Linked DNA regions of Saccharomyces cerevisiae S288C. The gene in region 3 interacts genetically with the main gene of each other region. Each region holds a gene or a part of one and is shown on either strand. Other genes may lie near its edges. The genes, in order: YPR127W, MET10 and PAD1.

Region 1 (3,483 bases), on a different chromosome or scaffold from region 3:
GTTATTAAGGACATTTACCGTGAAAATAATGGGGACATAACTGCTTTTTGGAAAGGTTTAAGAACAGGTTTAGCATTGACGATAAATCCTTCCATCACATATGCCTCTTTTCAAAGACTTAAAGAAGTTTTTTTCCATGACCATTCCAACGATGCTGGCAGTTTGTCAGCAGTGCAAAATTTCATTTTGGGTGTCCTTTCCAAGATGATTTCGACTCTAGTTACGCAACCCTTGATTGTCGCTAAAGCAATGCTTCAAAGCGCTGGCTCTAAATTCACTACTTTCCAAGAAGCGCTACTATACTTGTACAAAAATGAAGGGTTAAAATCTCTTTGGAAGGGAGTTCTTCCTCAATTGACAAAGGGTGTCATTGTGCAAGGTCTGTTGTTTGCTTTCAGAGGAGAATTGACAAAATCTTTAAAGAGGCTAATATTCTTGTACTCTTCTTTTTTCCTAAAGCACAACGGACAACGCAAGCTGGCTTCCACTTGAGAATCCTTACTATTACTGAAATAAGCACATTGCGTTTAGAATCTTTACATATCAAATTTAAAATTTATATAAACAATGGAGATTCACTTTTTTAACCTTACGCCATTTCGTATCTGTCACCAACAGTATGGAAAGTAGTCAAATATTTGTTAATGGCATTGAACTCTTGATCGGTAAGTTTGGTTTTCTGTTCATCAAAGTTTTCATTAACCTTGGAAATAGAAGAGCCACTTGGAATTGGGATAAATTTGGCGCCACTGTATTCCGGAACTTTGTTCCAGTGCTTAACCCATCCCAAAGCCAGTTGTGCAAGAGTAATGGAGTTGTTTTGTGGGCGCTTGTCGACTATTTCTTCCTGTAGAAACCTGACCAAGGTCAGGTTTTTTTTCAAAGACTCGTCGCTAAATCTCTTTAACGACTTTCTAAAGTCACCCTCAGGGATATCAGCGTTTGACTTCAATTGACCTGTCAACAATCCTCTGCCCAGTGGGGAGTAGCAGATGATGGACAACCCCAATTCAGCACATGTTTTAGCAATTCCGTTGTGTAAAATGTCATTACTGAACAAAGAAAGTTCCACTTCAACGCAGGTCAAAAACTTTCCCCAATCCTTGTGAATAGCTCTAATTTGCTCTTCATTAACTTCACTTAATGAAATACCGCCAATAACGCCTTCGGAGATCATCTCAGCAAGCGCTTCGAACGATTCGTAGGGGTAGACCTCTCCTTTCGTGCATAGGGAAGTGTCGATTCTTGCGACTTCGAAGATGTCGATGTAGCCACCAATAGCACTAACTGAATTCTTTACGCTTTGTACAACATCATCGTGACTGCCTCTGGGGGTTAAGGTAGCATTGTCTGCACCACCTTTACAACTGATAACCACATCCTTTCTCAAATCTGGGTATTTCGCAAAGAAGTCGTGAACATACGACAAATTAATAAAATCGGGACCATAGAATTCACCAACGTTGAAAAAGGCCTTGTGCCCACGTTCTCTGGATAACTCAACCACTCTGTGCATGGCCTCGAAAGCCTGCGACTGAGGGATAGGCTCGGCTCTCCAAGTCAAACTCATTAAACCATAGCCAGTATCTAACTTGTGGATGTTGTTTTTCAAATCGGCGACAGACATTTTATTTTTACTTTTTTTGGTGTATATTTTAGTTAATATGTACCTGTTTTTCTATTCTACATAACATAGAAAATGGCAAGGAAAATAATTTTAAGAGAGAGTCCTGAGATGAAGTAAAAAATTTGGTAAATTGACAACCCCTTATATAATAAATGCCTATTCTACGGTTCAATAGACACTCTATTCTTTGAGTAATTTTGAGGGAGAGCAGCAATGATTAACTTAGTACCGTTCTACCAAGTACGCCCTTGATTACCTCATTAACGAACAAAAACGCAGATCCCTTCCTAAGGCGGCCGAGACGGCCGCTTCATCCGTCTCGGCCGGGTGTCATTCTTCTAATATATTTGGTAAAGGACTTGGGAGATGCGCAAAAGGGAGATAGTTGCGCTTTTTTTTTGTCTAACAACTAACGGGTAAAAATGTGGACAGCACGAGGAGTAGTTTAAGAAATAACTTTAAAAAAAAATATTGGCAAAGCAGATATGCAAGAAGTTACGGGTAAGGCTTCTAGTAGTCGTGCATGTGTTGATCCCCTACGTTGATACTATCTATGTGTGCAAACACCAGCTTTACAAACAAAAATTTCATATAGTAGTGTATTTTATTTATCTTATGTACAAAATCTATAGTAGAGTTCACTACATTTTCTTTTCATTGCTAAAAAAGCAGTTTCGTGCAAGTATGTATAAAAAGAATGTTGGCGAGAGTAGCGGAGAGTGTATCGTGCGGTTTAATGGGCCAGGTGAAAACTGGGTTACTTCTCTTTGATGGCAGCGGCTTCTCCGATAGGCTTGGTGTCATGCGGTTTTACGTCTGGAGCAGCCGCATCTATGTTCTTGTCTTGGTCGTCCAAGCTCAACTCATCCTTGACGCTCACAATGGCGTTCTCTTCTTGCTGCTCTTCTTCCTTCATAATTTCTTCTTGCTCCCTCAATTGTTTCAATTTTTGCTTAGCGGATGCCTCATCTTCCTTAACGACGTTTACTTTAACCTCATGGTATAGTTCATCAGGGATACCGATTAAAACGTCACATAATGCGTCGTACAATGACTCCTTTGATTGCACATTACCGTAGTTATAGGCAGTAGCCATGATTAACAGCGTGGATGGGATCTTATCCTTGAGCCTCATGTTCAGCCACAATCTTAGATTCGAATATAACACGCTAGGCTCTACGTCTACACTTCTAATACCTCTGGAGGCGCATGCTGTTTTCAATTCAGAGAGGGAGAGTTGTTCTGCATCCTCGTAATATATAGATAGATCATCTTTTTTCAATTCAAGCATTTTGTATCTGATACGGTAACGTAGCATCACATCAGTGCCGAATGGTTGCAAATTCATATACTTCGCTAATGCAATCAAGTAAGGTCTTGTCACATTATCCAATACAGTATCATCAGTGAATAATCTAGCTACTTCGATTAGCTGTTGACGAGACTCCGGCACTCCTGTAGCACGGACATGTGTGTAGAACCTGTTAAACAAAGCTTTTTGTTCCTCGGAAATATTATTAGGTTTAAAATGGGACTTGTTATTCTTTATGATTTCAGACATTAACTTCCTTGTGTTTCTTAAATTTTCTAGTTTATTCTCGCGTTTTTTACTTGATTCATAAGTAGAAGGAAGTAAATTGGGGAATAACTTTAATGCAAATGGAAGAAGAAGTTCAGCAAAGGGTATAATGAGGAAAGCAGCAAATGGAACCAACCGAACGATATCTTGAGTAGTTCTTTTCAGTTGTAAATTTTCTCTTCTCGTCAATGGGTAGCCTGCAGCACTCTTCATGAGCAATTTGGAAGAAATTTTTATCTCCAACCCCAAAAGTTTGGAACCATCCCAATAATGACGA
Region 2 (3,841 bases), on a different chromosome or scaffold from region 3:
TCTTCAATGGTACTGTTATTTGGGAGGAAAGATGTTTCATTAACGAAAATTGGTAAAGCTGCAGGCTCTTCCTCATCCTCTTTCTTTTCAATGTTTATTTCAGAAAATTTAGTGTACAGCGCTAGCGGAACCTCACTGAGGAAGTTTTTGAATGCACCAGTGAGAAATTCAGAAATCGAGGCTGCTGAAATGTCTGCACCTGAATCAATGCTTTTCCAGATACGGTTGGTACATTCTGCGACATCTAGACCGAAGGCCAATTTCCAGAAAACGGCTTGGATAAACAAGGACAATTTGGACTCGTCGTTAGTGGTCTCACCATCGATGATAAACAATTTGATGTTTTTCTTCGCAATAGATATTAGGAATGATTCAGGAATTCCCAAATTCTTGACGTAACTTTCTACAGAATTTAAATCCAAATCTTTAACTGCCTTTTGGGAAACCAACGCAATTGAACCTTGTTCTGCGACGGTAGCAGCTACGTCTAAATGCTTCAATAAACTGACATCTTCAACGACTGATAATTTCGTAGAATCGATGTTTGAAACAGGTATCTGTTCTTTCGAGGTCACAAATTGAGCTTGGAAGGTACCAGCATTAGCCAAGTTATCAAATTTCGTTCTCAAAGACACAAATTTCCCATCTTCCAAAGACAGAGCTTTCACAAGTTTGGAGGCAACATCAATATTGATACTCTTATCAGAGGCCCAATAAATGAATCCTTCGCCGAAAGATGAATCGGCATTGTAAGTGAATTCAGGGATGAATGACGATACAATTGATTTGACAGCTTTTGGGGACCAAATGAAATCTGGTTGATAGATGTACTCAGAAACGCTAATTGAGGTGCGGCCGTGGTAAAATAAGGCGGCTGAAACTTGAGATCTCAAGAAAGAAGGCGAAGAACCATCCAAAGTTTGGCCTATAACAACAATTTGTTTGGTAGTGGATGGAACGTGAGTGACAAACTTAGCAACGTTAAAAGGTAATGGCACTCTGACGTTGATTAACCCGATTTTGGAATTATTACCACTAATCGCAGAGTTGAACAATTCGGATTCTAAAGACCCATAAGTGATAAACACAGTTTCAGCATCCTGAGCACCAAAGTATTGGAAATTATGTAGTCTCAATCCAGTCAATTCATTAAACTTATCCAAGACATCATCAAAGGCAGCATCTGGTGCAATAACTTTGGATAGTTTTGCCAAAATAGATGCCTCAGGAACAGATTCGACCAACGGCAAGACGGTTTTCGAGTAGTTTAATCCGTCAAATAAATTGATAGCTCCGGAGTTATTACTGAAAGTGGCAATCGCCAATGCCAGTAAGGCGACACTTTGTACCTCGTTAGCGGAAATCGGAGTCACGACACCATACTTCAGCTTGGAAGCAGCATCCAATGCGGTTACATAATCGTTGGTGACAGAGCCGGTAGCATTGTCGTAGTTTAAAGCACCAACATTCAAAAGAAACTTACCATCATGAGAGACGGTTTTCAAAGAGTTAATGAAGTATGGCAGCGAAAACCCTGGAGCAACAATTGCTGTAGTGTTCTTCAATCCATGAGAAAACCCTAAAGGAGCCAAACCAGCGCCAGATCTGATATCCAGCTCTTGGAAAAATGGCTTCCCACGTGATTCGTTACCACGCTTTTCAGACCATTTTTTTAGATCTTGGTGTAGCAAATCGGGTTGAGAAAAGGACTTGTAAGCAAAAATGGAGTCCACGTTATTGAACAGCACAGATGAAATGGCAGTTACGGGTGTACCATATTTTGGCAGTGAAGTTGCATTTTTGGCCTCGCCAAAAGGATTGGTAGCAAACTCAACTGGCATCTCGTTGTATATTTGGGTGACCTCGAGGAAAAGCAGTTGAAAAAAACTATGTGCACCCCATCTAAACGAAACTATTTCCAATCAAAAGATGGTGGTCTCGAGAACTACTGCCCTCTGTTGCTTATATATACCTTTTGCTCGAAGATGACTATGGGTTTCCGACGATTCATGAATGAGTCTTTTCTACGGCACCAAAAAAGCCACACCTGTGGGGTGAATTGTGGTCACGTGCTTCTATAAGCTCACGTGGTGTGGTATATCTTATTGGGAATGTTGATAGTGTTTTCTTTTAATACCTGTATACCAGAACCTTAAACATACGTATATATTTAGATGCATTATTTGTGGAATATTTGCTTACATTTGGTGATTTCGCGAGATTGGGGCAAGCCATATGCAAAGTCTTCCACAAAGAAAGTCCCCTTTCTGTCGAGAATATAAAGCTTGTTGCCCTCTGGGTTAAACCGCAAAGTAGCTGATTCATAAGCCCTGTAGGCATTTGCCACGGTTTCAACGAGGATTGTCCTTCTTTTTTCGTTGTTGTCCATCATGGTGGGGGCACACATGATGTAAACTGATCCGTTGCGGTCGAGGAAGGCAATTGCGTCGTTTCTTGGTGATATTTCGCACTTGTGAATCTTGCATCCAATCTCATCTACCCTTATAAGCATGGATGGTTGTGCCACGGTCCGTACACCGTTAATTTGGGTGATTTTGGTGTTTATGACCAGTGGAGATGAATTGAATGCTGTTGATGTGATACACATCAGATTTGGATTTCCTGGGAAAAGTTTTGTGTCAGTGATACCTTCAGATTCTAAGGAAGTGTCTATGGACCGAACACTTTTCATTATCAGTCTTGGTTCGTTTATTTTCTGCAAAGATATGATCAAGAACCGCGACTCTAGCGCGGTCGAACATGTCAGATACTTGGCGTCGTGCGAAAGTTGTATGGTATTGATGGGATCTCTGTATGGAAGTGTTATGGTGATTGGTGGGGGGAACTCGGGCTCCAAAGTCACTTTATTTCTGGTAATTTGTTGGATCACGACTAATGCTTGTTCCGCGCCTGTATGTCTATCCTTTCCGGTGATTCCGTAGGCTATTATCTGCGACCTTGGATCTATGTCTATGCATCGGATGGGGAATCTCGACACGTAGGTATAGATGAGTTTGCCGTTTTGGTGTATGTCGTGTACATTAAGAATGTTTTGCGAACCCGATATTATCAAGAAATCATTGGAAAGTTTGCAAAAACGTTGGCTCCAGTTTTTCTTTTTCTTTTTTGACGCTTGAGAAGTAGTGGAGAGTGAAGATGACGATTGCTCTGTTAGTTGGTTGAAGTTGGGACCATATTCTCCACTAGACTTGCCACATGATACTAGTTGAGGAGAGTTGTCCTTCGGATTAATCGAATAAATTTCCCACTTGTGTTCAGTAATTAGAGCAAATTTGGTGCAATCGGGAGAAATGCTTTGGTTGATGAATAATTTGGATTTCGTCCCTAGGAATTTGGGGTGTGTGTTGAACTGAAATTTTTTTCTGTACATGGGGAAACAGTTGGCAAAAAAGTACTCCTTTTCTTCGTCCAGATCATGTGCACTATTTGTTTGGTAGTTTGCTGTGGAAGGTATTGTAACGTCCGTAGACATCAAAGAGAAGTTGTTATCTATCGGCACAGTTCTTGTGTTCGAGGCATTATCCAGGATTTTCCAGTTCGCGTGGTCGTCATAGTTGGGCTCGAGTAAGCTGCTTGAGTAATTCTCCTTAGTGGTGTGTTCTTCTTGATCACGGGTGGTGCCAGTCGTGAGTGGGTGGTCCGACCCTACCTCTGTATTCGCATTATGCATCTTCGAAGCCACAATATGGAAGAGTTCGAGCAGTGATGATTTCTCCTTAACTGTAGGGTCTGATAGTGTCTTGTTATCAGCTTCTAGCCCAGCAGTGGAGGAAGAGCGCGATGGCGTTAGCGATAGTGATGATGATGATGGTGAAGTCTT
Region 3 (3,229 bases):
TTTTTCCAGCAATTTACTGGTTGTAACGCTGCCATATACTACTCTACTGTATTATTCAACAAAACAATTAAATTAGACTATAGATTATCAATGATCATAGGTGGGGTCTTCGCAACAATCTACGCCTTATCTACTATTGGTTCATTTTTTCTAATTGAAAAGCTAGGTAGACGTAAGCTGTTTTTATTAGGTGCCACAGGTCAAGCAGTTTCATTCACAATTACATTTGCATGCTTGGTCAAAGAAAATAAAGAAAACGCAAGAGGTGCTGCCGTCGGCTTATTTTTGTTCATTACATTCTTTGGTTTGTCTTTGCTATCATTACCATGGATATACCCACCAGAAATTGCATCAATGAAAGTTCGTGCATCAACAAACGCTTTCTCCACATGTACTAATTGGTTGTGTAACTTTGCGGTTGTCATGTTCACCCCAATATTTATTGGACAGTCCGGTTGGGGTTGCTACTTATTTTTTGCTGTTATGAATTATTTATACATTCCAGTTATCTTCTTTTTCTACCCTGAAACCGCCGGAAGAAGTTTGGAGGAAATCGACATCATCTTTGCTAAAGCATACGAGGATGGCACTCAACCATGGAGAGTTGCTAACCATTTGCCCAAGTTATCCCTACAAGAAGTCGAAGATCATGCCAATGCATTGGGCTCTTATGACGACGAAATGGAAAAAGAGGACTTTGGTGAAGATAGAGTAGAAGACACCTATAACCAAATTAACGGCGATAATTCGTCTAGTTCTTCAAACATCAAAAATGAAGATACAGTGAACGATAAAGCAAATTTTGAGGGTTGATTCACACACAACTCACAAATCATATTTTGTAATTTACTTAAGAAAGCATTTTGCGGGGTTTATATTTGTTCCTTGCCGCACCAATAATATTCATATATTACTACATAACTTTAGTATTTTAACACCAGACGATCTGTCTTTTGAGGAAATATGTCCACTTTCATTTTCTTCCGCTTGCCGGCAATGCCTATAAAAAGCTTATAAAATAGCCCGACTCCGTAGTCTTAATATTTATTTAAGTACAATAATAGTCCCACAAAAATTTTTAAAACATCTTTATTGATAACGTGGACGTGTTATTACATTGGAGCGAATGATGACGGAAGTAGGAAAATCTGAATACTAAGGTGAAGATATTTTAGCAGGGTGCCGCCATGGATGTTCTATGAATGTCTTCCTTCCTTTTCTCTCATGGGACACCGCAAAAACCTGTTCTACCATCATTTAACTGCAACATACAAAAAGCCACCAACTTTCGAACACTGCAAATGGTGCTATTCTCTTTTTGCGGTCTTGCCATGATATTCTTCTTGCAAAAAGGGTTTTAGAGCAAGATTTCAAATTAGCCATGAATATCATGCATCGCTTAGAGCAGTAAGATTTTACCAGAGCTTTACAGGACCTATTTTTCATACGTTATGCACTTCATTCTTCTTGTCGGTTTGATAACAGCAGAATCTAGTTCCTTTAATTTGAACGTTAGCCCGGCAGAAGCCATACCTCGAAAACGCAGCAGCGCTTCATAGGCATATCAAAAACAGGGCAAGGGACACCATACATCACCTAGTGCTGTTACTTATAACCAACTTGACAACGATTGCACAAGAAAAGAGTATATCTGTGAAGACAGCCAAAACGCTTAACATGTTATGACATAAATTGCAGACAAGAAATTGGATGTATTTTACAGACTTTGCATTCCTGTCTGAAAGCCTTTTTACATAAAAATGGTTTCATTAGTAGCACTTCGTATCGTTTTCAAATAATGATGAGATGCTCCAAAAGGAAAGTTGGCACAGAAAAAATGACGCGCCTTTCCTGTTTACCGTTAAACTTCTCAGAAAAAGTATACTCGACCCATTTTTAAGATTGGTGATGGATAGAATTTCATTTAACATAATGCTGCAAATATAGATTGATTTCAATCTACGGAGTCCAACGCATTGAGCAGCTTCAATTGAGTAGATATGCTCCTATTTCCAAGAAGAACTAATATAGCCTTTTTCAAAACAACAGGCATTTTTGCTAATTTTCCTTTGCTAGGTAGAACCATTACAACTTCACCATCTTTCCTTACACATAAACTGTCAAAGGAAGTAACCAGGGCATCAACTTCGCCTCCAAGACCAAAGAGAATTGTTGTCGCAATTACTGGTGCGACTGGTGTTGCACTGGGAATCAGACTTCTACAAGTGCTAAAAGAGTTGAGCGTAGAAACCCATTTGGTGATTTCAAAATGGGGTGCAGCAACAATGAAATATGAAACAGATTGGGAACCGCATGACGTGGCGGCCTTGGCAACCAAGACATACTCTGTTCGTGATGTTTCTGCATGCATTTCGTCCGGATCTTTCCAGCATGATGGTATGATTGTTGTGCCCTGTTCCATGAAATCACTAGCTGCTATTAGAATCGGTTTTACAGAGGATTTAATTACAAGAGCTGCCGATGTTTCGATTAAAGAGAATCGTAAGTTACTACTGGTTACTCGGGAAACCCCTTTATCTTCCATCCATCTTGAAAACATGTTGTCTTTATGCAGGGCAGGTGTTATAATTTTTCCTCCGGTACCTGCGTTTTATACAAGACCCAAGAGCCTTCATGACCTATTAGAACAAAGTGTTGGCAGGATCCTAGACTGCTTTGGCATCCACGCTGACACTTTTCCTCGTTGGGAAGGAATAAAAAGCAAGTAACACTTTTTCTGAGCATTTTATTACGTTACTCAACTACTAATAGAGTTGATTTGTTACTTGCTAAAATCTTTTTATATTTCTTTTAGCCCCGACAGAACTTGTTGCAAATGAATACAAACCGTGAACTTCCCGATATCATTCTAATTGAACCCAGATATTTACACATGTACTTCTTACTCATTTTCAATGTCAGCTTAAATATCGTCTAAAACAATATTTTACTAGATACGCAGTTCAATCTTCGCGCATATTTTCACGAAAGTCCAAATTGCGTACGTAGTTTTATGTCAAAGTGACCGCCGTTGTAGCGTACTTTTTCCTATAAGACAAGCTCGTGATATCAGGAATATATCAGGAATGTAAACGAATACCGCATATCTTTTTGATTTTTTTCCTCTGAGTTATTCTATTCTTGACATTATTACATCACCAATTCAAAAGAATTGTCAATTTATATATTTAAATGAGGAAGCTAAATCCAGCTTTAGAATTTAGAGACT

What was found.
Region 1: mutations in PAD1 (region 3) and YPR127W together harm fitness more than expected from each alone (negative genetic interaction), as found in Saccharomyces cerevisiae (one large-scale study listed by BioGRID).
Region 2: mutations in PAD1 (region 3) and MET10 together harm fitness more than expected from each alone (negative genetic interaction), as found in Saccharomyces cerevisiae (one large-scale study listed by BioGRID).

What each region holds. Positions count from the first base shown.
Region 1 is NC_001148.4:788,227-791,709, reverse strand, and holds YPR127W (pyridoxine 4-dehydrogenase), read right to left. Parts: upstream 1,628-3,483; coding exon 590-1,627; downstream 1-589. Other genes in the region: ANT1 (Ant1p), read left to right, coding at 1-492; YLH47 (Ylh47p), read right to left, coding at 2,385-3,483. UniProt on the Saccharomyces cerevisiae protein: Catalyzes the reduction of pyridoxal (PL) with NADPH and oxidation of pyridoxine (PN) with NADP(+).
Region 2 is NC_001138.5:211,312-215,152, reverse strand, and holds the start of MET10 (sulfite reductase subunit alpha), read right to left. Parts: upstream 1,842-3,841; coding exon 1-1,841. Other genes in the region: PTR3 (Ptr3p), read right to left, coding at 2,180-3,841. UniProt on the Saccharomyces cerevisiae protein: This enzyme catalyzes the 6-electron reduction of sulfite to sulfide. This is one of several activities required for the biosynthesis of L-cysteine from sulfate.
Region 3 is NC_001136.10:1,508,902-1,512,130, forward strand, and holds PAD1 (phenylacrylic acid decarboxylase PAD1), read left to right. Parts: upstream 1-2,000; coding exon 2,001-2,729; downstream 2,730-3,229. Other genes in the region: glucose-inactivated glycerol proton symporter STL1, read left to right, coding at 1-813; putative phenylacrylic acid decarboxylase FDC1, read left to right, coding at 3,193-3,229. UniProt on the Saccharomyces cerevisiae protein: Flavin prenyltransferase that catalyzes the synthesis of the prenylated FMN cofactor (prenyl-FMN) for the ferulic acid decarboxylase FDC1/ubiD.